Linked DNA regions of Canis lupus familiaris. The protein of the gene in region 1 purifies or fractionates together with the protein of each later gene. This does not show direct contact. Links are inferred from orthologs where the notes say so. Each region holds a gene or a part of one and is shown in the gene's direction. Other genes may lie near its edges. The genes, in order: ZRANB1, STRN3, STRN, STRIP1, HECTD1, MAP4K4 and SLMAP.

Region 1 (3,500 bases):
ATGTACAAATGACTCTCTCAGGTAATCCTCTCCAATGAGTTTGTTTTCATTTACTAAAAAGTGGTATTTCTACAAAGTCTCAATTTCCTGTAGAGTTGATACTGTATATACATCATTATTTAATATCATGTACTTACCTTAAAACTTTTGGAGGATGGTTTTGGTATTGTTTACTTACCTGGATTTTTGAAGAGAGAGGCTATTTACCAGGCATATATGACAATGACTATTTTATGGCAGTTTTTTTTTTTTTTTTTTTTTTTTTTTGTCAGATGCGGACATTTAAATATGTTGTGCTGGCACATTAGTTCCATGAAGATTAGCTAATGTAATGTAAGGTCACAAGCTGTTTAGTTGAGCCTATGAGCATATCAAAGTAAGACTTACTAAAGCAAGCCTGAAATTTTGAATGTGAATATTTTAAATGAAATATGGAAATTACTTCTGGTAGCCTTGAATATATATTCATTATGTCATTTGTTCTTGTCATGATAAGTTTCTACTTGATCATGTTATTTTCCAGTAGCATGAACAACTTATTTATATTTCATTCTTGAGAAACTAAAGGAAGAAACTGCCTGGTGAATATGAAAATTGCCATTAAATTCGATTGTCCCATTTTATGGATGCTTATGATTATAGTTCCTTGCTCTTCACACTTTTGGATGGTGTTAGAGTGTGTGTATCACTGTGTACAAGCTAAATTTCAAAATCTAAGCAATATGAATATAAATAACCTTGGTTAAGGAAAAAATAGAGTTGCTGAAGGAGAAAAAGAATTCAGGCTAAATAAAAGCAATATTTATTTTTTGCTTTTTCTGCTTACTTGGTTTACATCATCTTTCTTCAATAGTAAGTAATACGGGCAGGAACTGACTTAGCACTACTAAGTTAATATTAACCATACCATTAGTGCACATACATGCACGTTTAAGGCTTTAGAGAAAAATGTCTTTCCTATGTCTAATTTGACCAGCTCAATCAGTTAGCTGATTTTTTTTGCTAAATTAATTTGATTTATTAAATTAAAATGCTTAATACATAAAAAATAAAATGCTTAATACAATAATCCATTATTAAAAGAAATGAGTAGATTAAAGGCTTTTTTTTTTTTTTTTTTTTTTTTTAAATAAATACTTCTGGATAAAGTAGCAGGCTTCAAGTGAAACTCAGTTTTGGTTTCCTTTACAGGACTAGCTATTCACAGTCAGACAGAACCACTTAGCACGCTTTGCCAGTGTCTCCTGAGGAAGTCAGAATCTGAGCCAACATGAAGACTGAATCTTGTCTTTGGTCTGATTTATAAAACCTTACTTTTATTCTAACCATGTGCAAGGTGGAGGTTATAGCATGGAAACTAAAACCTTAGTAAGTGTGATTTTTATTTTAGCTATTAAATTATAGCCTTTCTTGTAGTGAATTTGTCCTCTTAATGGAGTTCACACTGTAAATGGGTGAGGACTTGGCAAACAGAGACACAATAATGCACTTAACAAAATGAAAGCTTGAGCTTTTCAGGTCAGGAAAAATCCCTGAGAAAGAGAGGCAAAGGCTTCTGTTACTCTGCCTAGGATTTTTCACTTTTCTGGCTAAAAATAGGTGGCAGGATGATATTAAGTTGAGGGATTTAAGAAAATGAAGAGTCTGGCTTTAGTGTCAGCCATTAAAAGAAAAGTCATTATTAAGTTTGCTGTGGAAGTTACTTCATAGATTAAGTTGGCATTAAATCATGAAGTCTTCATTTTAGTGTAGTGTTAGTAGTAAGCCCAGTCTAGGAAGCTTTTAAATAGTTGAATATATTCTCAGTATGAATTAAATTTTTAGTATATTTTAAATATTGAATATTTTGAGTATGAATATTCAAAATTCTACTGGACTGAGTATATGCTAGTAATTACCTTAGGGACGTTCCGTCGATTTTATTGTCCTAATAGGTGATACACAGTTTTTATCTTTTTGTGCTCCAGACAGAACTAGATTTTGAGGGTGCAGTATTTCGTAGTGTTACTTTTATGAATGTAAGGATTACTTCTTCAACATTTTTCTTTTCTGCCTGTGCTTTTAAGAGCAGTGGATAAGTAAGTAGCATTTTTAAGCTGCTTTTTTTCTTTCTTAGCAAAATGTTAGAATTGACTTTGTTTGATCTTCTGAATTCTTCAGTGAATCAAACATAATGATACTGTACCTAGATAGCATAAGAATCTGTGCTATCATAGATAGTGTTATGTTCATAATTTGAGAATTGTTATGTGTTTATTTGGTTTTTGTGTTCTTTCCATTCTCTTTGAATCTTAACTATTGATTACTTTTCTAAATTGATGATGATGACCTGGCTTAAATTAAGCATTTCTATTAGTAGCTTTTTTTTTTTTTTTTTAACTTGCTTCCCTTTTAGAACAAATCTTTTATCTTCTGCTTATCTCTTTTGCATTCTAAAGTACAATATCATTAAATCCCAAGGTCTAAGATTTTTCCTTGGGACTTATCTCTGGTGTCTCTAATGGAAATTGGAAAAACAAGGATACTTCATTGTTAAATTTTTCAGGCTTCTTTTGAGAGATTTCTATTTTATAAGTTGAAGGGTAGTTTTGTTTTGGGGCACATTTTCAGAGATGAAATTATATAGTTATTGTTTTAATAACCATGTCCTAATTATTTATAGCTCCCTGCCTGACATAACTCACTTCAAGAAGAGCACAATGTCAGAACGTGGAATTAAGTGGGCTTGTGAATATTGTACGTATGAAAACTGGCCATCTGCGATCAAGTGTACTATGTGTCGTGCCCAAAGACCAAGTGGAACAATTATCACAGAAGATCCATTTAAAAGCGGTTCAAGTGATGTTGGTAGAGATTGGGATCCTTCTAGCACCGAAGGAGGAAGTAGTCCTTTGATATGTCCAGACTCTAGTGCAAGACCCAGGGTTAAGTCTTCTTATAGCATGGAAAATGCAAATAAATGGTCATGCCACATGTGCACCTATTTGAACTGGCCAAGAGCAATCAGATGTACCCAGTGCTTATCCCAGCGTAGGACCAGGAGTCCCACAGAATCTCCTCAATCCTCAGGATCTGGTTCCAGACCAGTTGCTTTTTCTGTTGATCCTTGCGAGGAATACAATGATAGAAATAAACCGAACACAAGGACCCAGCATTGGACTTGTTCTATTTGCACGTATGAAAACTGGGCCAAGGCTAAAAAATGTGTTGTTTGTGATCATCCCAGACCTAATAATATTGAAGCAATAGAGTTGGCAGAGACTGAAGAGGCTTCTTCAATAATAAATGAGCAAGACCGAGCTCGGTGGAGGGGAAGCTGCAGCAGTGGGAATAGCCAAAGAAGATCACCTCCTACTATGAAACGGGACTCTGAAATGAAAATGGATTTTCAGAGGATTGAATTGGCTGGTGCTGTTGGCAGCAAGGAGGAACTTGAAGTGGACTTTAAAAAACTAAAGCAAATTAAAAACAGGATGAAAAAGACTGATTGGCTATTCCTC
Region 2 (3,500 bases), on another chromosome or scaffold:
TAGAAATTGTAATAAACAGTATGAAGATAAAAGTAATATGAAAGAGAGTCTCTTTAGATATAGTCCAAAACAGTGACATTTAAGACAAAATCTAAAGGATGAAAGGAAACCTTCAGGGGTTCCTGGTGGCTCAGTCATTTGAGTGTCTGACTCTTGGTTTTGGCTCAGTTTATGATCTCAGTGTCGTGGGACTGAGCCTGGGACAATCTCTGCACTAAGCACAGAGTCTGCTTGAGATTCTTTTTCCCTCTGTTCCTCCTGCTCGCTCGCTCACTCTCTCTCTCTTTCTCTCAGATAAATAAATAGATAAATAAATAAGTAAATTATTTTAAAAAAAAAAAAGAAGCTTTTAATAAAGAATTTTAAGCCAGGAAGTGACCAGTAAAGGTGGATTTTAAAAGGTGACTCTGGTTATTATAAGGAGAATAGATTGGGGTGGGAAAAGTGAAGAAAAGAATACAAATATAATGTTATAATGTAAAGTTGTAGTGTAAGGGTCTAGTAGACTAGGTGAAAGGTGATGTTTCCATGGTCATGAGGACAGTGAAGCAGTTGGTAGCAGAGTGGTTGGGAGAGAAACGGATTTGGGATGCACTGGGAAGTAGATAGGATAGGCAGAATCTGGTGATAAAGTGGATAGTGATTGAGTGGACAAAGTGATGGGTAAGTGATTCTTAATTTTGTTACTTTGTAAAACAGCTTTATTAAGATATAATTCACATGACAAAATTCACCTTTTTTATGTATACAGTTCAGTAGTTTTTATTATATTCACAGGACTGTGCATCCATCACCACTAATTCAGGACATTTTTATCACCACTTCTGAATTTTTTTGACATGAGCAGTTGGTATATAATGGTAGCATATTGAAATGGGGGCAGAACAGGTGTGAAAAGATTAAAGATGATGGCTTTAGATTTCAGTCATGTTCAGGTTACTACTATCAAGTAGTTAATAATCAAGATAGGAGAATGGATTGTATAACACAGGGGAAGTTATGTTGTGCAGGGCACAAAGGGAAGGCAAGTACGGAGGAACTCTGACATTGGGAGAGTGACTAGAGCAGGAGAGCCAGCAAAGAAAACTGAGAAGGAGAGAGACCAAGGTGGCTCAGCGGTTGAGCACCTGCCTTCGGCCCAGGGCATAATCCTGAAGTCCCGGGATCGAGTTCCCTATCAGACTCCTTGCGTGGAGCCTGCTTCTTCCTCTGCCTGTGTCTCTGCCTCTCTCTCTCTCTCTCTCTCTCTGTGTGTCTCTCATGAATAAGTAAATAAAATCTTATAAAAAAAGAAAACTGAGAACGAGTGGCCTGTGAGGAAGGAGGAGGTACAGGAAAATGTGGGATCATGGAAGCATGCCAAAAGAAAAAAACATTTTGAGAACAAGGTAGCAATCTGCACTTTCATATTTTGCTAAGAGGTCTAATATGAGGATAGATAGCAAAGTTCCTTTTTTTTTTTTATATGACAAATAGGTCACCTGGGTCTTAGCGAGAGGTTGGATGCTGGGACTAAGATCAGAGCAGAGGGTGAAGGGACCTGTGGGCAACTTTTCAAGGCACACTCTGGATGAAAAGCAATGTGATGAGAATAACCAAGAAAAGAAATGTTCAAAGAAAGAAAAATTTGGGGAACCTGAGTGGTTCAGTCGGTTAAGTGTCTGCCTTTGGCTCAGGTCATGATCACAGGGTCCTGAGAAGGAGCCCCATAACAGGTTCTCCTCAGCAGGGAGTCTGCCTCTCCCTCTTCCTCTATGCTTACTCTTTTGTTTTCTCACTCTCTCAAATAAATAATCTAAGAAAAGAAAAATTTTATTAAACTTGTTAGAAGAAAGTTTGTCATTGGTGATTTTAGCAAGAGTTATTTTGGTGGAAAAAAAGTTATTTTGGTGTAGTGATGCTATGAGAAACCATGTTACACTGATTTAGAGAGTGAATGAAAGGTAAAAAAGCATTTTACTCAATATGCTCTTCTGCTATCTGTTGGAAGGGTGATACAAGGTTTTTATTTGAGTCAGTAGATTCTAGAGCATATTTGTTTGCTGTGGTAATGATCCTAAGGAGAAGGAGAATTATTGTATAGTAGGGAAACTATAAACATGAAAGCAAGTTAGTAGGTTGAATGGAATCCAGAATTTACCTGATAGAATTATCATTTGAGAAGAAAGTAGACAGTTCTTCTATCTGGAAGCAAGGAGTAAGGTGGCTCTAGACACTAGTAAGTAGATTGAGTGGAGGAAAGACAGGAGAGGGGTTCTTAATTTCATTGCTGTATTTTCTCAGTGAAATCGATAATCAGAGATAATCATTCTGAAGAAGGGAAGTTGGAAACTGAAAATTCTGGAGATAATAAGAAATAGTTGTGGGAAGTCGGAATTTTCTAAAGAAACAGGATTGTAGGCCAGATGGTGCACAGTGTTATTATTAGCCACCATGTCCATCAAACGGTAAATGGATACGTAAAATGTAGTATATCTATTCAATGGATATTATTTGGCATTTAGAAGAAATTCTTTAAAAAAAAAAAAAGAATGTTATAGCATGTCTCTCATGTACTGAGAGACATGCTATAGCATGGATGAACCTCGGAAACATTATGCCAGTCACGAAAGGCCAGTTGTATGAAATGTCCAGAATAGACAAACTTAGAGAAACAAAGTAGATTAGTGGTTATGTGGGCTGCAGAAAAGCAGGAAGAATTGGCAGTGGGGGGTGGGAATGGCTAATAAGTGATGGAAATGTCCTCAAATCGATTGTATAATAAAAGCCATTGAATTGTACACTTTCTTTTTTTTAAGATTTTATTTGTTTGAGAGAGAAAGAGGGCGAGCAAGAGTGGGGGCAGACAGGGGCACAAGGAGAAGGACAAGCAGACTCCCTGCTGTGGAGCCCAACATGGGGCTTGATTCCAGGTCCCTGAGATCATGACCTGAGCCAAAGCTAGGCATTGGGCAGCTGAGCCACCCAGGTGCCCCCTCGAATTATACACTTTAAATTGGTGAATTATGTGATACGGGAATTATATTTCATTAAAGCTGTTTCTTGAAAGTGTATGTTCTTTATAGAAAATTCCAAGAATACAGGAAAGAATTATGGTGGGGATAAAAAATAACCCATAATTCCACAATTTAAAGATGACCACTTCAGTTCTTCTTATGACCATTATGGGTAGTCTTTATACTTAATTATATGGTGAGTTATCTTTATCCAAAACATTTTTTTCCAACTTCTTTTAGCTAATTTGTGTTTGTTTGTTGTTTCTTCCCAGAGCCAAATGTTCTAGCTGGCACTTTAGTTGCACATACAGATGCTGTCTGGGGTCTTGCTTATAGTGGCATAAAAAATCAATTACTGTCTTGTTCAGCAGATGGCACTGTTAGGTTATGGAATCCACAAGAAAAATTGCCATGTATTTGCACTTACAATGGAGACAAGGGTAAGTAAATTTTGCCCTATAAAAAAAAAAAAACGCTAATTTTTTTAGAATTTGGAAGATAGAA
Region 3 (3,500 bases), on another chromosome or scaffold:
AGTTGGACACAACTGACTCAGCCACCCAGCTGCCCCGATGACCATTTCTATTACAAGAAAGAAATTGAAGAGGTCAGAAGCTCTCTTTGTCATATTTGTCTTCAGATGATAACTATGTGATAAAGAGCTCTGTATCGGGCAGCCCCGGTGGCCGAGCAGTTTAGCGCCGCCTTCAGCCTGGGGTGTGATCCTGGAGACCCGGAATCGAGTCCCACATCAGTGTCCCTGCATGGAGCCTGTTTCTCCCTCTGCCTGTGTCTCTGCCTCTCTCTCTCTCTCTCTCTCTGTGTCTGCCATGAATGAATAAATAAATAAAATCTTAAAAAAAAATGCTCTGTATCTAGAAAGGTGGAGATTTAAATTTGAGTATCGTCTACATGTAAGTAATGATGGAACTTTATTAAAGCAGTAGAAGTATTGCAGATGATCAGAGAATGAGATAGGTCAGTGACCCTAGGCTAAAGCCTGGGTGGCCCCCATTGATTGCAGGTGGAAAAGAAAATTCTCATTTGTGGGTACTTCTATATTTGTTAGTATGGTATTGCTCAGGCAGTTCTTTTCTAAAACATTAAAATTATAAATAGTCACAGAATAAATGAACTAAAAACAAATTAAAGTCAAATCATTTACTTTTTTAGTCTCCTAGGTGAGTATTCAGTTCCCTTGTGTGAAGAAATTAGTAGTTTTGACTAACTTTGTTGCTCTTTTTTTCTTTTTTGCAGCCAGTTCTTCCTGCCAAATAAATAGAGTCATCAGCCATCCCACTCTTCCCATCAGCATTACTGCTCATGAAGACAGGCACATCAAATTCTATGATAACAATACAGGTAAGTGTTTTGCAAAGTGATCAGTGATAAAGCAAAAACAAAAAACAAAAAAACACAAACCCCACTATAAGTACGCTGATTTGGGTGTCTCTTAGTGGCTGCATAGTCCAAGAGTAGGCATGAAAACAGATATAGACACTCCCAGCTCAATTTCTGTTTAATCTGTCCAAATCTGCTAAGAACTAGTCTTCATGGTACTATATAGAATCATCTTGGTTTATTTAATAAGTAGATACTATGTTTTGTCCCTAGAGTCAAGGTTATGAATAGGGACACAATGAAAAGGTCATTCAAATAGCAATAAAACTGATCTCTTGCTGTGAATATATTGGGGAAAAAGTAGAAACATGTTGGAAGTAGAGGCATATGATCATTCTATCATATTTTGTTTAAAATTGTTCAGTGAAAAAAAAAAAGAAAAAAAAATAAAATTGTTCAGTGTTTGCATAGCCTTAGTGTTGGAGTTGGAAACCCAAGTCATTTGGTTAACTTGATTGACTGTCTGGTTCTGATTGATTTGAATTAGGATGTGTGGGCTTTCCCATTTTTTTATTGAATTGCATTTCACCAGTTTAAAAGAAATTCCTGAAGAGCTGTGTTGATAGGAGAACACTCCATATTATCAGCCAAATTTACCTGAGTATCTACTGTTGACTTTTGCTGACTTTGCTTAGCTGTGAGTGATGAGTAATTTAATATTTTAATCCCTTCCTATATGTTATTTCCACCAAAACTGTGGCCAGATTTTCTCTGTTCCTTTATCTTTGTCTCATTCTCTTCTGTTCTCACAACCCATATAATTTACCTGTAGCTAAAGGATGCAAAGTAGCTGTTTAGTAATGTCTGAGTTAATGAACATGACTCAAAGAATATTTGTGTACAAATGACTAACTTTTATATTGTTATTTGGAAGACACAAATATAATCTGAAATTTGAGCTTTTGTTTTTCTTCATTACCATGGCTAGAGTGGGGAGGGAGACACATTGTTGAGCTGTGATGGAAAAAGCTATTAATGCAGTAAGTATTCAGAGAGGTGACTGGAGAAATCAGTGTAACGTGGTAGCTGGCATATATTTCAGGATAAGGAAAACTATTAATAAAGAGCAATAATCTCTTTTTTCCAAAGGCAAACTCATCCACTCCATGGTAGCCCACCTAGAAGCTGTTACAAGTCTAGCAGTTGATCCTAATGGCTTGTACTTGATGTCTGGCAGTAAGTACATCAACTATGGATTACTTATTTATCCTTATTATTTTCATGTTAATGTAATATTTCCTTTCAATTTCTTTTCTTTTCTTTTTTTTCCTTTTGATGCAGGTCATGACTGTTCAATACGTTTATGGAACCTAGAAAGTAAGACATGTATCCAAGAGTTCACAGCTCATCGGAAAAAGTTTGAAGAATCAATTCATGATGTAGCTTTCCATCCATCCAAATGCTATATAGCCAGTGCTGGGGCTGATGCACTAGCTAAAGTCTTTGTATGACACAATGCATCATCTTCACCTTCTAGCTCTTTATAAATAATCAACTGCACAAAAGAGATACAGAAGACCAGGGCAAGAATCAACCTTTCCTGCCCTTTTGTTCTGCTGAAGGAGCACAGAGAACATTTGTTAAAGTATAGTTTTGCAATTCGTATACTGTTTTCTAAAACTAAGGTTTGTTCAGGTTGCTGCAAGCTCAGCTGAATCTGTGAGCCTGAAAACTGTTTCAAATTTTCCCCCAAATAGGAGCTTTTATTTCTGAGGTTGTTCTGATTCGCTAGGCAGGCCTGAGCGAACATAAGTTTAGCCTGTCCCTATTGAGTAAATAGGGCATGCTATAAGGGATAATTAAAAAGCTTGATGACTGGGAATGAGTGGAGGAAGAACAGAAATTTAGACCTAGTTCTCCCCTGAGAATCTTGTTAAACACATTAGGTAGTCAAAACAGTAATCTTTACCATATCTGCTGTACTAACCCCTATGTGCGTAATGACCAGGCAGTGTTAAAATGAGTTTTTAATTTAGCTCTCCTTTCATCTGTGCACATAAAGCACCTGGCAAAGCATTTTACCTATTAGGGGAAAAAAAAAAAAGAAATGCAATAATATGTTAAATATATTATTATTCAGAAATACTAAACAAATATTTAGTTTGTAAGCAGATTTCTATATTGTATTACATTTTTGAAAATAGATTTGGTACCATTGTAAAGTTTAGCTGTCAAAAACAGTCACCGTTATGAATAGTTGATAAGAGTCTGCTTTTACTAATGGGTTTAACTTATTCAAGTTTGAGATTCTGTTTATTTTTAAGGGCAGGCAGGGCATATCTTTATAATACTCTCTGTTAATTTTAAAATTCACTTTATTCATGTGATATTTATAGTACCAGAATGGTTATCTCCTATCGATGAAATCAGACCTTTCAGTGGTTGAAAAGTTGGAAGTTATCTGTGAGTACTCACATTGGTCAAAACCCACAAACCATGCTTCAGATGACCTCTTGCTCTTTGTCTCTCATGTTCAAATTATCTGACATCTACCAAAAACAGTTTAAAATTATTATGTTTTAACAACCCAAAGGGTTTGGTTAATGTCAGGCAGCTGTCTTTGCTGGACTAAATAAAGCAACTCTTTTGTACCCCAGAAGTCCTCCATTAATATATTCAATAAGGGGAATCTGG
Region 4 (3,500 bases), on another chromosome or scaffold:
GCAGACAGTGATGCTCCTTGGCCATGCACTCTGTGCCCAGCAGTGGTCTTTCCTAGAGCAGTAGGTCACTCATGAGGCTTGCCAACAAATGTGCCTGCATCTGTGCACATCTGTTACTGCCACTGCTACTCACATGTAATGTGAAGCTAGCCTGAGCTGCTTCTCAGGCCTCCATAGTACAGGTCCTATTTAGGAGGTCAGGGCCACCTGAGAGACACTTATCCATGGTGGCAGTCAGCCTTGTCATGGCATGGTGGGATTGATGTGCACAGGACTGGAAAGGCCTGGATTTATGTGGCATTCTGATTATCGGCTGCTAGCGGGAATCAGCACTCTCTGCATCGTGCACATCAGAGCACTCACACCCCCTTAGTCATTGGATAGTCTGGGAGTCACTGTGATTCAGGGAGACTGGGGCCTAGAAGCAGATGCCTTATATTCTTTGCTACCTATGAGAACTGCTATGGAAGGTGGACGTGGAGCTAATGAGACTTTGTTCTTAATAGAGCTTTACAGCTACACGGAAGGGCCAGAATTCCTGATGAATCGAAAATGCTTTGAGGAGGACTTCCGGATCCATGGTGAGCCGGTTCCCTGCACTTGTTGGTTCCTCTGTCCCTGTGTGGTGAGAGCTGCAGAGTTTCTCTTAGTCATCTGAGCGACTTGAGTCATTCTGGACTGGCCTAAGAGACCTGCTGAACCATGATTGTTCAAGGCCCCCTGTGAGCTTTAGAGGGGGATTGCTGGTACTCTGGTGGTGGCTTTTCAGAGTGTGAATATGGGGAGCGGAGGAAGCTTTATGTGATAAAAATAACATAAAAAATATCAGTGTTTCAGTCTGGAAATCTGTAGAGCAGCAGCATGACCTTCCACCTTATGTAGAGAGTAACTTCTCTTACTGAGTTTTCTGGTCTTGTGGCAGTCTTGAATTTGGTGAGTTAGCATTGTGTTCATTCCATTGTGAGGACTTTTTTTTTTTTTTTTTTTTAAGATTTTATTTATTTATTCATAGAGACAGAGAGAGGCAGAGGGAGAAGCAGGCTCCATGCAGGGAGCCCGATGCGGGACTCGATCCCAGGTCTCCAGGATCACACCCCAGGCTGCAGGCGGTGCCAAACCGCTGCGCCACTGGGGCTGCCCGCCATTGTGAGGACTTTTCTGGGCTCAAGTATAACTGGTCTCTTGCCCTGCAGTAACAGATAAGAAATGGACCGAGCTGGATACTAACGAGCACCGTACCCATGCTATGAGGCTCCTGGATGGCTTGGAAGTCACTGCCAGGGAGAAAAGACTCAAGGTGGCTCGAGCAATTCTCTACGTTGCCCAAGGTACTGAGTGGGCCCCCGGATACCCTGACACTGCCTTCACTGACGTTGCCCAGTCAGATCTGGGGAAGGACTCCATGAGCCCTGTGTCTGCAGGCACCTTTGGAGAGTGTAGCTCGGAGGCAGAGGTGCAGTCCTGGATGCGCTACAACATCTTTCTGCTCCTGGAGGTGGGCACGTTCAATGCTTTGGTGGAACTTCTGAACATGGAAATAGAGTGAGTCCGTCTGAGGAGCTGGAGTAGGGAAGGGGAGGCAGGGGTCGAGGGGACAGAGCTGGCAGGACTCAGGTCTCAGAGGAGGGTGACTGGGCCTAGTAAGGCTGAGGGCGTGGTCCAGGCTCTGTTCTGAGCAGTCAGGTTGAGCTGTGGCCTCTTGTGCAGTCAAAGCACATATATAGTTTTATTCCTCCACTGGGTGGCCCTTGTCAGGGGAACTCCTCCTCTTCCTTCCTGGGGGAAGACTTGACTCCCAAATCTCTCCTGCAGCAATAGTGCCGCCTGCAGCAGTGCAGTGAGGAAGCCGGCCATCTCCTTGGCTGACAGCACAGACCTGAGGTGAGGCAGGCAGCAAGCCTGGGTTCCCTGAGAATGAGATCAGAGCGGGCAGCAGGAGGGTGTCTTCGGGTGCCCTCGCTGTGGGTGTGCTCCTTCTGAGCATGCTGATCTTCATGTGTCCTGAGTCAGCCCTGCAGAAGGTTCTCCCTCGGTGGGCCTCTGGGCTGTATCCCTCACAGGAAACCTAGGGTGAAGCCACTTATTAGAGCCACAATGAGATATGGCCTCCTGCCCACACTTTTGCTGAGAACTTGGTGGTGTGGTACTTTGTGATTGGTGAAATGCATGACGTGGCTACTTGGGCTCCACCTTCTGGTACGCAGCTCGACCCCCATCTACTTGATGATATTTTGTGGCTGCACAGGAGGTAGCAACTGCTGAACAATGAGATCACCTTCCCATTTTTGTGAGGCTTAGCATCTTTGTCTCTGAGTTTGGGAGTTTTCAGACCTGGTGTTGGTGGTCTTCCCCACTATGGTCGGGTCCCTGGGCACTGCCCGCTGGCTCCCTATTTCTGCTCCATCACGGTAGCTTTGACCCCGTGCTGCTTTGTCTGATCTGGCACCTACTTCCACAGTTCGCTCCCACCTCTGAGTTTTTCTTGCTCCAGGAAGCTTAGGACCCGAAATGTTTTGAGCCTTTCTTGTTCATGTTAATCCATTCAGCAACCCATTGATGAAGCACCTGCTTTGATATCCACTTAGCTCGACGCTGCTGAAATATCAAGCAGAGTAAGATCTGGTCAGGATCTTAACAGCAGAGACCAAGAAATGGCACACCAAGAGGTGCTCTGTGGGACTCTTGGTTTTCTCTGCGTCACAGCCCTCGCCCCCAGCTAGCCTTTGTGCAAGCACTTTCCTCATGTCAGCTAGACTGTGGGGAAGCTGGGACACTCCCTTGCTTCCCCATTCTGCACCATTATGAGCTGGCTCTTGTTCCCAGGGTCCTGCTCAACATCATGTACCTGATTGTGGAGACCGTTCACCAGGAATGTGAGGGCGATAAGGCTGAGTGGAGGACCATACGACAGACCTTCAGGGCTGAGCTGGGTAGGCCCCTAGAGATCCTGGGGTGCTGAGGCCCTGCCTGGAAGCAGAGGCTTCTGGCCTTTGGGAGGGTCCTGTTCCTGCTGGTGGGCCTGATCCCTTAGTGTTCCCTCTAGGTTCCCCCCTGTACAACAATGAACCATTTGCCATCATGCTGTTTGGGATGGTGACCAAATTTTGCAGCGGCCATGCCCCTCACTTCCCCATGAAGAAAGTTCTCTTGCTGCTCTGGAAGACAGTGTTGGTGAGCATTGCCTTGAAGGGGAACTCAGCTCCTAGGGATCGGGGCAGGAGGGAGACTTTTCATTGTATATCTTTTTAAATGTTGAATTATGTGAAAAACTATATGTGAATTAATATATAACTAACTGCTTTGACACTTTTGTCTCACTATGGTCAAAGAGGACTTGGCCCTTGGGTCGGAATAGATTGTGGGCTCCCTGACTCCTGGAAGCTGCTTCTCTAGCCCTAAAATGCCTTCTTTCCAACCAGGCTGCTTCTGAACCTGGAGCATATAAAGTGATTGGAGGCAGAATTAGAGCTGGTGTAATCGGGTCCCCTCAGTCAGAGGTC
Region 5 (3,500 bases), on another chromosome or scaffold:
TACCTCACAAATTCTGCTTTTGATCGAACTGTCGTCTTATATGGGTTTATATAGCAGGTATTAGACTATTTATAAGAGAAAAGTTAGAGCTAAAGTCAGTTAGTTTAATATTGTGCCAATGTACTGAACTGTTTTAACGTGTATAATTTCATTTAACTTTCATATCATACATAAAGTAGATATTTTTTAGATACTGTCTTTGCTTTACAAATGAGGAAACAGGACCAGAAGGGTTACAAAGATGTTGTATGTTTTATCCTTACCTATTAAATGCCAGGTCAGCACTTATTCCCAGTAAAACATGAATTAAACAATGTTCCTGGCCTTCAGAACCTTTTAAGGTAAATAAAGAAATAAAGTGATAGATTAAATAGTGTGAGTACTGTTTGTATAGGCTCTAGGAACATGAAAGTACCACTTAGTGATTTGAGGAGGTTAGGGAAGGTTTTACAGAGCAGTTGATGTTTGAACTGAGTATTGAATAGGAATTTTTTTTAAACAAGATTTTGAGTTAATGCTGCTACTTTAAACTGTTGATAACTTGATATTTTCAGCATGTGAGTATTCTGGAAAGGAAAGCAATGTGAGAAATATTACCTAGTACACATCAGACACAGTATTGAATGTGATGCATTGTTACAGTTTTTATTTATTATTTTGTTAATACTTTGATGTGAAGAATTTAGTAATACGATTTTTTAGGTGTAATACGATTTTTTTCTCTACAGATGTCCTCCTCGCACTTTCTTACCAGCCCTCTGCAAAATTTTTCTTGATGAAAGTGCTCCAGACAATGTGTTAGAAGTGACAGCTCGTGCCATCACGTACTACCTGGATGTATCTGCAGAATGCACCCGAAGGATTGTTGGGGTTGATGGAGCTATAAAAGCACTTTGTAATCGTTTAGTTGTGGTTGAACTTAATAACAGGACTAGCAGAGACTTAGCTGAACAGTGTGTAAAGGTAAGTTTTAAGTATTTATTGGCCCATTTGAAGATGACTAGAGAATAAAAAATACATTTCACTAAAAAAAGAAAATTTTTTTCATTATTCTTACTTTATTGAGAGTGGTTGACAACAGTGGAAGTCACAGTCCTTGTGGCACCAAAAAAGATCCCATAAAGTTTAGGAAAAGAAATCTTAGAAGTTTAGGAAAAGAAAATTGTAGGTCAGTGATACTGCTCTTTTGTGCTGGTTCTTGGGTTTCTTGTAGCTTTTGAGATAGGTTATTCCTGTTCTTAGCCAAAATGATTTTTTATGAAAGTAGTAATAACAGCAGCTAATACTATCAGAGTCAGACATTATACTAAACACTTTACATGTGTTAACTCATTTAGTCTTTATTTTTTTTAATTTTTTTTTTAATTTTTTTTTTTTTTTTTATTCATGATAGGCACACAGTGAGAGAGAGAGAGGCAGAGACACAGGCAGAGGGAGAAGCAGGCTCCATGCACCGGGAGCCTGACGTGGGATTCGATCCCGGATCTCCAGGATCGCGCCCTGGGCCAAAGGCAGGCGCCAAACCGCTGCGCCACCCAGGGATCCCTCATTTAGTCTTTATAACAATTTTATATGAGGCAGGTGCTGCTAATATCAGCATTTCTATATTTTATTTGAAAAAATTTCAAGCATATTGCGGTTAACTAACTTGATTGGTGGTGATACAGATAATTCGTGGCAGAGCCACGATTCCACTATCGGAAGAGTAGGAGTTTGAACACTATTGGAAGAGTAGGAGTTTGAAATTAGGAAGTCTGGTTTGTGGGCCCATGAATTTAACTATTTTTCTGTACTTCCTTTAGAGTAGCTCTTTTGTTTTATTCCTGTTGGGACTAATTATAAATTTTATGTGACTTTAAAAAGCACCAGCACTGGGTCAGTAGTTTATTAGAACTACTTGAATTTATGAAAAGCTATATGTGATACCGTAACCGACTGAATGCAGAAGTAAATATGAGGATCTCTTATCAACAATGCTACTATTTTCACTGAGTTTCTATCTGTTCAGGAAATAATTATTTTCATTAAAATGTATGTTAAACACATAATGAGTTTCTTATTTCAAGTAAACATATGTTCTAAATTTGTTTTAATATCTAATATAGTAAAGATAAATAGATATAACCTACATAAACAAAGGCTCTTTGAGGGCCCCTCGATAATAAGACTATAAAGGGATCCTGAGGCAGAAAGTTTGAAAACTGCTGACCCAGAGCAGCAGAATCATAGTAAGAATGAAATAAGAATCACAAATAAAAAATCATGTAAAATCTAAATGTGTTCATCAAGTAGTTCTAAAATAATAATAATAATTTCAAACTTTCTTGTCTTTCATACCCTGCTCTTTTTTTGTTCCCTTTTCTGATTATTGTTATTATTCTTAAATGGTAGTATTTTCTTTTTTTACCTTTTTAAAACTATAACTTTGCTTAGATAATCTCATCTATCAGCATTAATACCATTCATTTGTATATATCCCTCACATCTTATCTCTAGACCTGACCTCTTTCTTGAGGTCCAGACTCCATATTCAAAGGCTTTTTGAATAGCTCCAACCAGCTGTTTGAATTAATAATATTTTACTGCAGATTCAGTTATTTTGATAATTGGCATCAAATTCACCCAGTCACTCTAGGCAGAAACCTGTGCTTTATCCTTTATTTCCTTTTTTCCTCTCCATACATGTAGTTATTAATGAAGTGATTTTCTAGTTTATTTCCTTTTGTCTCTGTTGTTATTACCTTAGTTAAGCTATCATTCTCTCTTGAATATTAATGCTTGAATTTATTTTTACATTTGCCTCTACACTCTCCCTATGCCCCATTCCCAGTTACTAACTGGAAATATCATCTTTTTCTGCTTAAAACAGTTTTCTTAAAACAAGTTTTTTTTTTTTTTTTTTTAAAGCTTTTATTTGTTTATTTGACAGAGAAAGTGTGTGCACAAGCGGGATGCGGGGGGTGGGCAGGAGAGGGAGAAACAGGTTCCCTGCTGAGCAGGGAGCCCATTGTGGGGCTCAATCCCAGACCCTGGGATCATGACCCGAGCAAAGGTATCCCAAGCACTTTTTTTGCTTAAAGAATAAAATCTAAATTTTCTGCTATGTCCATAAGATCTGTGGACTCTGTTAACTCTTTAGTGTTCTACCCGAACCCCTTAAGCATCAGCATAATTTGGAAATAAGAGTTAATTTTTAATGTTTTAACATTCCTAGAGTGTGAGGATGATGAATGTAATAGCAAGCATTATTTATTTATTTAATGTGTAAGACCTGTATAAACTTCTGCTAAGTTACTTTAGTTGCTTAACTTACTATGCAGGCTTCACCATCTGAACCTAGTGTCTAATATGGTAGCCATATTTATATTTCAAATGTGGCTACCCCAAATTAAGATATGCTGTAAGTATAAAATATACTTGGGATTTTGAAGACTTAATACATAAAAGAATTTGGGGCACCTAGGTGGCCCAGGTGGTTGAGCATTGGACTCTTGATTTCT
Region 6 (4,067 bases), on another chromosome or scaffold:
GGTCAGCCACCGGCGCTTTTACAATCCCTCCCGGTGATTCTGACGCACGCAGGTTGGAGAAAGAACCTGCCGCGAGGTAACAGGGAGCCGTTCAAAGTTTTTTGTGGAGCGATGTGATAAAAATGATGGGTGGTGCACACACAATATATTCATCCCTATTTAACAGGATCAAACTGCCCACCTACCGACGAGCTTCCGAAGTTGCTGGCTGAAGCCTGTTTATATCGATCCTTAATGATCTGTAGGCACAAAACGGGGGTTAGCACTTGGGGCCCCCCCCACAGGGCTCACCTCCCGAGCGCGGTAAGGAAGGCAGTGCCAGGCGCTCAGAGGGGCTGTTCTGGGCTCGGTTCCCACGGAGAGCCTCGGGACCCGCGGCCAGGTGATGCTCAGGGGACGCCGCACCTACACGCCTGTCACAAACGTCGCCTGCAAGATAGGAAACGAGAACCGTGTGAGGAAACCGGAAATGAGGGTCGGGGGGGGGGGGTAGAGAACCCATCCGGAGGTGGGGGAGGGGAGGGGAGGGGAAGGGGAAGGGGCAGGGGCAGGGGGCCCGGGGCGACCCCCCTTCGCGCCCCCGCGACGCCGGGGCCGGTGCGCCTCCGCGCGTCTGCGGCCGGGGGCCGCGTCCCTGCGGCTCCGTGTATTGTTAGCGCGAGATGGGGCGTTTCCTCGGCGCCGGCACCTCGGGGGGAGTCCCGGGGCGCCTCCTCCCCGCCCCGGCCGCGGTGCGCGCCGCCCGCCGGCCGGCCATTGTTCGGGCCGCACCCCTGCTGAATATTCACGCCGCGCGGGCGGCTCGCCCCGCGCCCTCCCCGGCGGGGCTCGGGCTGGGAGCGTTTCCGCTCGCTTTTCCTGCCGGGGAGGGCGCGGGGGAGCCGCGTTCTCCCTCCTCAGAATATATTTTCGGTGTCCCGTTTCTCCTCCTCCCGCGCCGCCGCCCCCTCCCTCCCCGCCCCCCTCCCCGCCCCCGCCCCCGCCCCCGCCCCCGCCCCCCGGGTTATCTTTGTCTCGCTGCCTCGCGCTCACTCGCTCAACTCTCGGCGGCGCCGCGGCCCCACGCTCCGGGCCCGTCCTCCAGGCGCGCGGCGCGGGGCGCGGGCGCGGGGCCTGAGGCGCGGGCGACGCCCGGGGGCCTGACGGCCGCCCCGCGCCATGGTGTGAGCGCCGCCGCCGCCCCGCGCACGCTCCGTCCGCCCTCCGCGCGCGGCCCGGGCCGGCCGACAGCCGCCAGCCCGCCGCCGCCGCCGCCGCCGCCGCTGCCCGCGGCCTCTCCGGGCGGAGTCCGGCCGCCCGCTCCCGAGCGAGGAGGCGCCGTCGGCGGCCTGGCCTGCGGCGGGAAGAGATAGGCAGGCGGAGAGATCTACTGGTACTGTTTCGTCTGGTGGCAAAAAGGGAAAATGGCGAACGACTCCCCTGCAAAAAGTCTGGTGGACATCGACCTCTCCTCCCTGCGGGTGAGTGGCCACGACGAGCCCCCCACGGGCGCGCCGGGAGCGGGGAGCGGGGAGCAGGGGCCGCGCCCTGCCCGCCGGGCGCTCGGGCGCTCGGGCGCTCGGGCTCTCGGGCGCAGCGGCCGGCACAGCCGCGGGCGCGGCGGCCCCTTTGTCTGCCTGCGTCGGCGAGTGCGGGGCGGCGGGGCGCGACCCTCCGCGACCCTCCGCGGCCCCCGCGGCCCCCGCGCCCCCCGCGCCCCGGGCGCGGCCCTCGGGCGCTGGGGGACCGCGCGGGGCCAAGCCCGCCGGGTGTGCCGTCGCCCGTTCTCTCCCGCCGCCCCGCTCTATTTATTCATTGTTGTGCTGCTTTTAAAATTCTCACCCCTCCCCTCCTCTTCACCAGGATCCTGCTGGGATTTTTGAGCTGGTGGAAGTGGTTGGAAATGGCACCTACGGACAAGTCTATAAGGTCGGTGCGAGCCTCCGTCTTTGTTTCCCGTGGCACGTTGAAACTTCTGGTTGGGGGAACGAGCAGACGGCTGGTAAACACGCCGCCGACTGCAGGCCACGCCGCTCGGCCGAAGTGGGGAAAGGGGTTTCGCCCTGCAGTCCCTCTTGTTTTTAAACAAGAGTTTATATTCAGGCTGGCCTGAAAGGACCTCACTCATTTCCTGGCTTTGAGATAAGGAAATAAGCTACACTCTTAGGCATGCACTTTTCTCCAGTAAGATGGGAAAACATTTTTTTTTTTTTTTTTCTTCTTCTCCCCGTCAAGGCAACTTTAATTCTTTTCGTTTTCCCCAGTTCCGGCCCTCTTGAGTTTGTGTGTGTTAATTAAAATTCAGTATAGGCAGGCCTGGCCTATGATTATCTTAAACCACTGCCTTGGCCTTCTTGAAAATTGTCATCATGTTGCCTCGTTTTGATGTTTGCCAAGTGCTCAAGGTGAGGAGTTCGGTGTTACCTGGGACTGCTTGCTTCTTAACTCTCTCTCCTACGTTCTACGGATGCATACATACATATTTTGGGGAAGCAGAGAGGGGTGTGTGTTCGGGCACCAGGAGCAGGAAGGATTACAGCATGAGGATTATAAAATCTGAATTCCAGGAATAACCTGTTTGACAGGTGTGTAATTGAAACAGAGATGAGGGAGAGCTCAAGAGGATGCCCGGATTTCACACCCACCCCAGGCCCTTCTCTCTCTCTCTCTCTTTTTTTTGTTTAACCCCGACTCCCCCCCCCCCCCACCCCCCAAGTGAAACTAACAAATCTGGAGACTATGAGTCTCCTCTGAGTAGCTGACACCTGATGTGACTAACAGTGCGGTTCGTTTTGTTCAGTGCACATTGTAGAGCTTCTTGAAAGAGCTGTAGGTAATGGAGGCACAGGCCTTGAAAATTTGAAACAGAATGTTAGATTTCCCCTGTCCTGATTTATTCCTTATTACTAAAGGTTTGCTAAAAGTAATCTGCACTGGGGGTGTTTTCTAGCTGTTAGAGTGGATACAAGGTCCGGCTAGAGGAAAATATCTTATGAAGCAAGGCTTTGTGGTTCACCATGAAGAACTGTCATTGTCTCATTGAAGATGGAGGGAGGGGGGTTGGAAGCTGACTGTAGACATTTTCTTAGGCCAAATTAAGTGTGGATCCTATTGTCTCTCTTACGCTTTATGAATAGGGTTTATCTGTCGCTTGAACGTCTCTCCCCAGCCCCGACTTCCCCTGGCCTGGGCTTCTGTACCAGGCTGTGTACCAGCCAGTGGTCTGAACTTGAGTCTGTATTCTTAGGTGATCTCAAGTGAATTAGCATGTGTTTTGTTGGTTAACTGTTGGGGCTGCGGCCAGATTTTTGAATTTGAAAAGAAGCCCTGTTAACTCAGGCTGCTGGGCTCAACTGAATTTGGAAGCCTTTGGAAAATTTTGGAAAAGAGTGTGTTGCAACTCACTGAGTGGCCTGGTAACTGGCTCTAAGACATTCTCCCCAGCCCCAGTGTTTGTTTAAGCCCCAGTAGGTTTTTTTCTAACCTAGTTTTTCTGGCCAAATCTAAGTGGTGAGTGTACTCTTCCAAGTAAGTTAGCCAAAGCTTGTTTTTGACCTGGTTACACAGTAGTTGGATTGTTTGTATCTTCCTCAGGCAGCATGGATGGATGTGAAGGGCAATGAAGTAAACTAGAAGCCTACAGTCTTGCTTTTAAACCATAAGAAGGAAGAAAGAGTGAAACCTGACTATGAATTAAGTGGCTTTAAGAGGTGGGAGTTCTTTATGGTAACAGTTTGGGCAGGTTCATTGTTCAGTTTTTTTCCCCTCTTCATTTCCTTTGGTTCCGTCTCCTCCTTCCCCCAAGCATTTGAAATAGATTTGCTGAGTGGTGCAGTTGGGAAGCATTTGGAATACTGGCAGTGACACAGCTCTCTGACTACAAAGTCTGTACAGTTGAGAAGAAATTCTCAAATTATGCAAACCTAACGAATTAAGAAATCTGTGCAAGAGTGGCATACACACACAGAATAGTGCCTGAGATTTTGCTCACCAGCAGTTCTTTTTTTATTCTGGAAAATTGCAAGCATACACAAGGAGAGAGAGTAGATCACTCAGTTTAACAGTTAGTCAGTACTTGACTGATCTGC
Region 7 (3,968 bases), on another chromosome or scaffold:
TGGGAATTTGGGCACACCTAAGGCGGCGGTACGGGACTGTGTTGCCCACAGCTAAGATGACTGCAAATGAACATCTCCTTCGGATGGGTCTGCTCTCTTCGTTCATGGGTATTTTCACTGAGAAGTATAGTGAATACAATTTAGCAAAAGTTGGGGTCTTCTAGCCGAGCTGGTAACGTAGGAAGCTGGCACGTTTTGTCCGGAAAACCTTCAACAGGTCCACTTTTCCCCTGCCCTTAACAAAAATGGCCGTAAGGGTTGTCCCCAGGGTCTGAAGCTCCCAGCCCTTAACTAACATGGCGTCCGGAGGCGCGTTAAAAAGGAGCTTGCCCTCTCTTCTGCCCTTGACCATCATGGCCTCCGTGGCGTCGAACACGTGACGACCCCGGACTACGGCGCGGGAGAGGGGGTAGGAGGGCCCTTGAAGGGTGCGCGTTCCCGTGGCGGTGCACCGGGTAGGTTTCAGTCAGAGTCACTATGGCGGCCGGCGCTGGCAAGGTAAGCTGAGGCGGCGGCGGCGGCCGGGGAGGCTGGACCCGTCGTGGCGTCCGGGCCTTAAATCCCCGCAGCTTGTCCGCGGAGAGGTCGGCCGAGGTCGTGGCCCATCGCAGGGACTGGCGGGGGAGGGGGGGGGCGCGGGTGGAAGGGGGTGCGGGCTGAGGCGGGCGGGCACCGGCGCCTGACGGCCGTTTGTTTTGATGTTTTCCCCACCAGGTCGGAAAGTTTCCTGCCTTGTCGGGCACAGCCTGAGCCTGCCCCACCGGCCGCGAGTGGTGGAGGCTGCGGCGGACCCAGCCCGGGGCCTCCAGGCCTCTCCCCCAATCTCCGGGCCAGCCTCCCTCCCCCACCTTCTCGTCCGCTGGGAGCCGTGGCCGCCGTCCCTGAGATGCGACCCTCGCGGGGGCAACCCTGAGACAAGGCGGCCGGTGTGCTGAGCCACTGCCCGGAGCCCAGGCGTCCAGGCGTCCAGGCGTCCAGGCGCCAACTTCCTGCGGGCCGAGACCCCCGAGCCTCCCCGGGCGTGCGCCTCGCTCGCTCCGCACCGGCCTGCCCAGCCGGATCCCCGCCCTGGGCGCGGGGACGCCCGCCAGGTGCCCGGGAGTCCCGGCTCGGCCGCTGCCCGCGCCTTTGCCTGTCCCCGCGCCTCGCGCCGAGGACCCCAGCCGCCGCCGCCGTCTCGGCTCGTGCCGGGGACCCCGTGCCAGCTCCCGGGCGGTCCTCCGCGCAGCAGGAGCCATGCAGACCGTCCCGCTGGCGATCTAGACCCCCTCGCCGCCCCCCTCGGCCCTGCCCTTCCACTCCCGAGGCCCTTGAAGACGGGCGGTGGCTGCCCAGAGGTGCTCGGCGACACCTTCCTTCGCCCCGAAAGGACCTTCCTGGCCGCACGGAACCGACCGTTCCTTCATGCTGCAGTGCTGCAACGTTTCCGCCACCGAGGGGGAAAAGCGGCCGAGATCCCAAACAAAACACAAGAACTGGCGTGTGACTCATCTGCTTGGATACCTCCAGCCCCCAAACTGTCTTCCAGGAGTTTTCTTGGCCGAAGCTGTCTGATGTTCGAGCCTTCTCTTCCCAGGGAAGAAGATGGACTGAAAGCTGCCAGTTGGGGACTTTGTGCGATCAGGGCGCTGCTGAGTTTTAAAGGAGGTGATGGGGCTTGCGCTGGCTTGTCTTCCCACTCAAGTGAAGAGTTGTTGATGTTCACTGGTTATGCTTAGACAATGCGCAGTTTGTTTTAATTTAAAATTTTGGGGGGGATAGGAAGATAGGCTTGTGAAGGGCAGTCCGGATCCGGTGGAACTCCTCTTTGTCCTCTGGTAGGAGAGACACCCCCCAGTCTGTCCTCGATGCCGTCAGCCTTGGCCATCTTCACTTGCCGCCCGAACTCGCACCCGTTTCAGGAGCGCCATGTCTATCTGGACGAGCCTATTAAAATCGGCCGCTCCGTGGCCCGCTGTCGACCGGCGCAGAATAATGCTACCTTTGATTGCAAAGTGCTGTCAAGGAACCATGCTCTCGTCTGGTTTGATCACAAGACGGGCAAGGTAATGTCACCGTATTATCTAACAGTCTTTCCTTTTCGTTTCCCTTTGCTCCTTTTGCATAATGTATGCAGAATCCCAGCGTTTGCACCCAAGCGAGGCTTTTCAGCAAGGCCGTGGAAACCAACTTTGTGTGTGTCTAGTTCTACTGGAAGTTTAGTTGAGGTGGTTGAATGGAAAACAGAGAAGGTATTGTAATTAAATGCCTCGGGAGGGCGATGGCATCTTGATAATGTGGTCCTTCCCAGTGAAATCCCAAACCCTAATTCATTTTGGGGAGGGGGGTGGAAACTAGATAGTGAAACTTGGCTTCTCGCTTCCAGTCTTTTTAGAAAGGTGAATTTGCCGTTCAGGGCTTGAGTAAGCAAGCAGCAGTTCCCAAAGCAATGCAGGGAATCTATGGTCAGTGTTAACACTGAGGCTCAGGTGTCTCAGTGGTGAGATGTAGTTAACACAGCTTTTAGTTGAGTCCAGATTGGGGTCTTTCTAGGAAGGACAGATGTTTGTGTAAACTTAACATTTTTGACAGATTTGATACGTGTATTTACCCACGAAGGAGTAATTTGCAATTTTCAAAGCCAATTTCATTAAGCATAAACAACTGTAACTTTACATTTTCAGAGTTTTGTTTGCAGCTTGAGTGAACAGACATATATTGCTTTTGAAAATCACTTTTTGGCATTCCCTGCAAGAACTTATTAAAAATACCTAATGCATACTTACAGAGGAGATACTTAAAAAAATCAGTGTTAGGAAATTAATTTATTTTCTGAGATTATATCCAATTGTATCAAATACTGCATTACCTAGATGGGATAGGATGAATTTAATGCTCTTTAAGTGTGACCCTTTTGCATTTTTGTGTTGGCACCCTAATTTCCTTACCTGTAGGTGCTTATATTTTAAGAATAGAAGAAAACAAATAAGTCCCTTTCAATTTTAAGAACTTTTTATGTGTGTGGAGAATATACTAAAAAAAACTCATTTTTGTGCTTTTACCTCGGGTTTTAGTTGAACTACTGAATCAGTTCCAACTTTAGAGTAAGTTATGTAAGACTAATAGGAATACCTTGGGTTTCACCTCCTGACTTTTCCCTCCCTCTTTGAGTTAAATGATTATGTCTTTTTTAAAAGAAGAATTTAAGTTTTCAGTAGTAGTATTTTGAAATGAAAGAGACCTGAGCCTCAGAAAAAAAGAGAGAAAGCAATACTTCTGTTGCTACTGAATTAAGGAATTATTATATAAATCATTTTTCAGGAAAGGAGGAAAAGATTGTGCTTGCATAATACCTATGCCCTACTCTGTGTAGGATGAGAACTGAAAAATATGTTAATTTTTCTGTATAACACCAGATGTTCACTTACCTATGGAACAGACTCTTTTTTTTCTTCCCTGGAAACTAGAGTTTGGGTGTCTGAAAGACTTCATAGATTACCCATAATCATTTAAAATGAGTATTCATAGAACCCATCTTTCTAGCTATTAAATTCAAACATCAATTAACTGCTAGTGCCCTAACTCAGCCAGCTTTTTTCTTGTCTAAGCAAAGGTCCAACTTAATCAAATAATAGGTTTGCTTAAAGTACATAATCTGCAAATGCACCTGCTTTACTTTGGTACATTACTCAAAGGAGACTTAGATATTTTCTATTACTTATTTAAAAAATAGTGATTACGTGAACAGTAGTGCTTTTCATGGCTATACCAAAACCCCCACAGTAAGGTTATTCTGTGATGGCTAAGGCTAGATCCATATTGAGTATTGTATAAATTGAGATGACATGTTAAAAAAAATTTTTTTTAAAGATTGTATTTATTTATTCATGAGAGACACAGAGAAAGAGAGAGGCAGAGACACAGGCAGAGGTAGAAGCAGGCTCCCTATAGGGAGCCTGACGTGGGACTTGATCCCAGGTCTACAGGAT

What was found.
Region 2: the proteins of ZRANB1 (region 1) and STRN3 purify together in Homo sapiens (affinity purification with mass spectrometry; 4 studies listed by BioGRID and IntAct, with this or other methods). This does not show direct contact. The link is inferred for Canis lupus familiaris from reciprocal best matches to the Homo sapiens genes ZRANB1 and STRN3.
Region 3: the proteins of ZRANB1 (region 1) and STRN purify together in Homo sapiens (affinity purification with mass spectrometry; 4 studies listed by BioGRID and IntAct, with this or other methods). This does not show direct contact. The link is inferred for Canis lupus familiaris from reciprocal best matches to the Homo sapiens genes ZRANB1 and STRN.
Region 4: the proteins of ZRANB1 (region 1) and STRIP1 purify together in Homo sapiens (affinity purification with mass spectrometry; 4 studies listed by BioGRID and IntAct, with this or other methods). This does not show direct contact. The link is inferred for Canis lupus familiaris from reciprocal best matches to the Homo sapiens genes ZRANB1 and STRIP1.
Region 5: the proteins of ZRANB1 (region 1) and HECTD1 purify together in Homo sapiens (affinity purification with mass spectrometry; 5 studies listed by BioGRID and IntAct, with this or other methods). This does not show direct contact. The link is inferred for Canis lupus familiaris from reciprocal best matches to the Homo sapiens genes ZRANB1 and HECTD1.
Region 6: the proteins of ZRANB1 (region 1) and MAP4K4 purify together in Homo sapiens (affinity purification with mass spectrometry; 3 studies listed by BioGRID and IntAct, with this or other methods). This does not show direct contact. The link is inferred for Canis lupus familiaris from reciprocal best matches to the Homo sapiens genes ZRANB1 and MAP4K4.
Region 7: the proteins of ZRANB1 (region 1) and SLMAP purify together in Homo sapiens (affinity purification with mass spectrometry; 3 studies listed by BioGRID and IntAct, with this or other methods). This does not show direct contact. The link is inferred for Canis lupus familiaris from reciprocal best matches to the Homo sapiens genes ZRANB1 and SLMAP.

What each region holds. Positions count from the first base shown.
Region 1 is NC_049249.1:34,577,078-34,580,577, forward strand, and holds part of ZRANB1 (ubiquitin thioesterase ZRANB1), read left to right. Parts: intron 1-1,191; 5' UTR 1,192-1,327; coding exon 1,328-1,368; intron 1,369-2,662; coding exon 2,663-3,500. UniProt on the Homo sapiens protein: Ubiquitin thioesterase, which specifically hydrolyzes 'Lys-29'-linked and 'Lys-33'-linked diubiquitin. Also cleaves 'Lys-63'-linked chains, but with 40-fold less efficiency compared to 'Lys-29'-linked ones.
Region 2 is NC_049229.1:10,381,929-10,385,428, reverse strand, and holds part of STRN3 (striatin-3), read left to right. Parts: intron 1-3,268; coding exon 3,269-3,436; intron 3,437-3,500. UniProt on the Homo sapiens protein: Calmodulin-binding scaffolding protein which is the center of the striatin-interacting phosphatase and kinase (STRIPAK) complexes.
Region 3 is NC_049238.1:29,431,954-29,435,453, reverse strand, and holds part of STRN (striatin), read left to right. Parts: intron 1-722; coding exon 723-827; intron 828-1,955; coding exon 1,956-2,042; intron 2,043-2,147; coding exon 2,148-2,317; 3' UTR 2,318-3,500. UniProt on the Homo sapiens protein: Calmodulin-binding scaffolding protein which is the center of the striatin-interacting phosphatase and kinase (STRIPAK) complexes.
Region 4 is NC_049227.1:42,381,655-42,385,154, reverse strand, and holds part of STRIP1 (striatin-interacting protein 1), read left to right. Parts: intron 1-506; coding exon 507-581; intron 582-1,193; coding exon 1,194-1,328; intron 1,329-1,421; coding exon 1,422-1,542; intron 1,543-1,812; coding exon 1,813-1,881; intron 1,882-2,823; coding exon 2,824-2,930; intron 2,931-3,043; coding exon 3,044-3,171; intron 3,172-3,500. UniProt on the Homo sapiens protein: Plays a role in the regulation of cell morphology and cytoskeletal organization. Required in the cortical actin filament dynamics and cell shape. Part of the striatin-interacting phosphatase and kinase (STRIPAK) complexes.
Region 5 is NC_049229.1:10,611,040-10,614,539, reverse strand, and holds part of HECTD1 (E3 ubiquitin-protein ligase HECTD1), read left to right. Parts: intron 1-728; coding exon 729-963; intron 964-3,500. UniProt on the Homo sapiens protein: E3 ubiquitin-protein ligase which accepts ubiquitin from an E2 ubiquitin-conjugating enzyme in the form of a thioester and then directly transfers the ubiquitin to targeted substrates.
Region 6 is NC_049231.1:42,329,020-42,333,086, reverse strand, and holds the start of MAP4K4 (mitogen-activated protein kinase kinase kinase kinase 4), read left to right. Parts: upstream 1-1,267; 5' UTR 1,268-1,403; coding exon 1,404-1,460; intron 1,461-1,842; coding exon 1,843-1,908; intron 1,909-4,067.
Region 7 is NC_049241.1:32,993,912-32,997,879, reverse strand, and holds the start of SLMAP (sarcolemmal membrane-associated protein), read left to right. Parts: upstream 1-1,168; 5' UTR 1,169-1,847; coding exon 1,848-2,045; intron 2,046-3,968. UniProt on the Homo sapiens protein: Associates with the striatin-interacting phosphatase and kinase (STRIPAK) core complex, forming the extended (SIKE1:SLMAP)STRIPAK complex.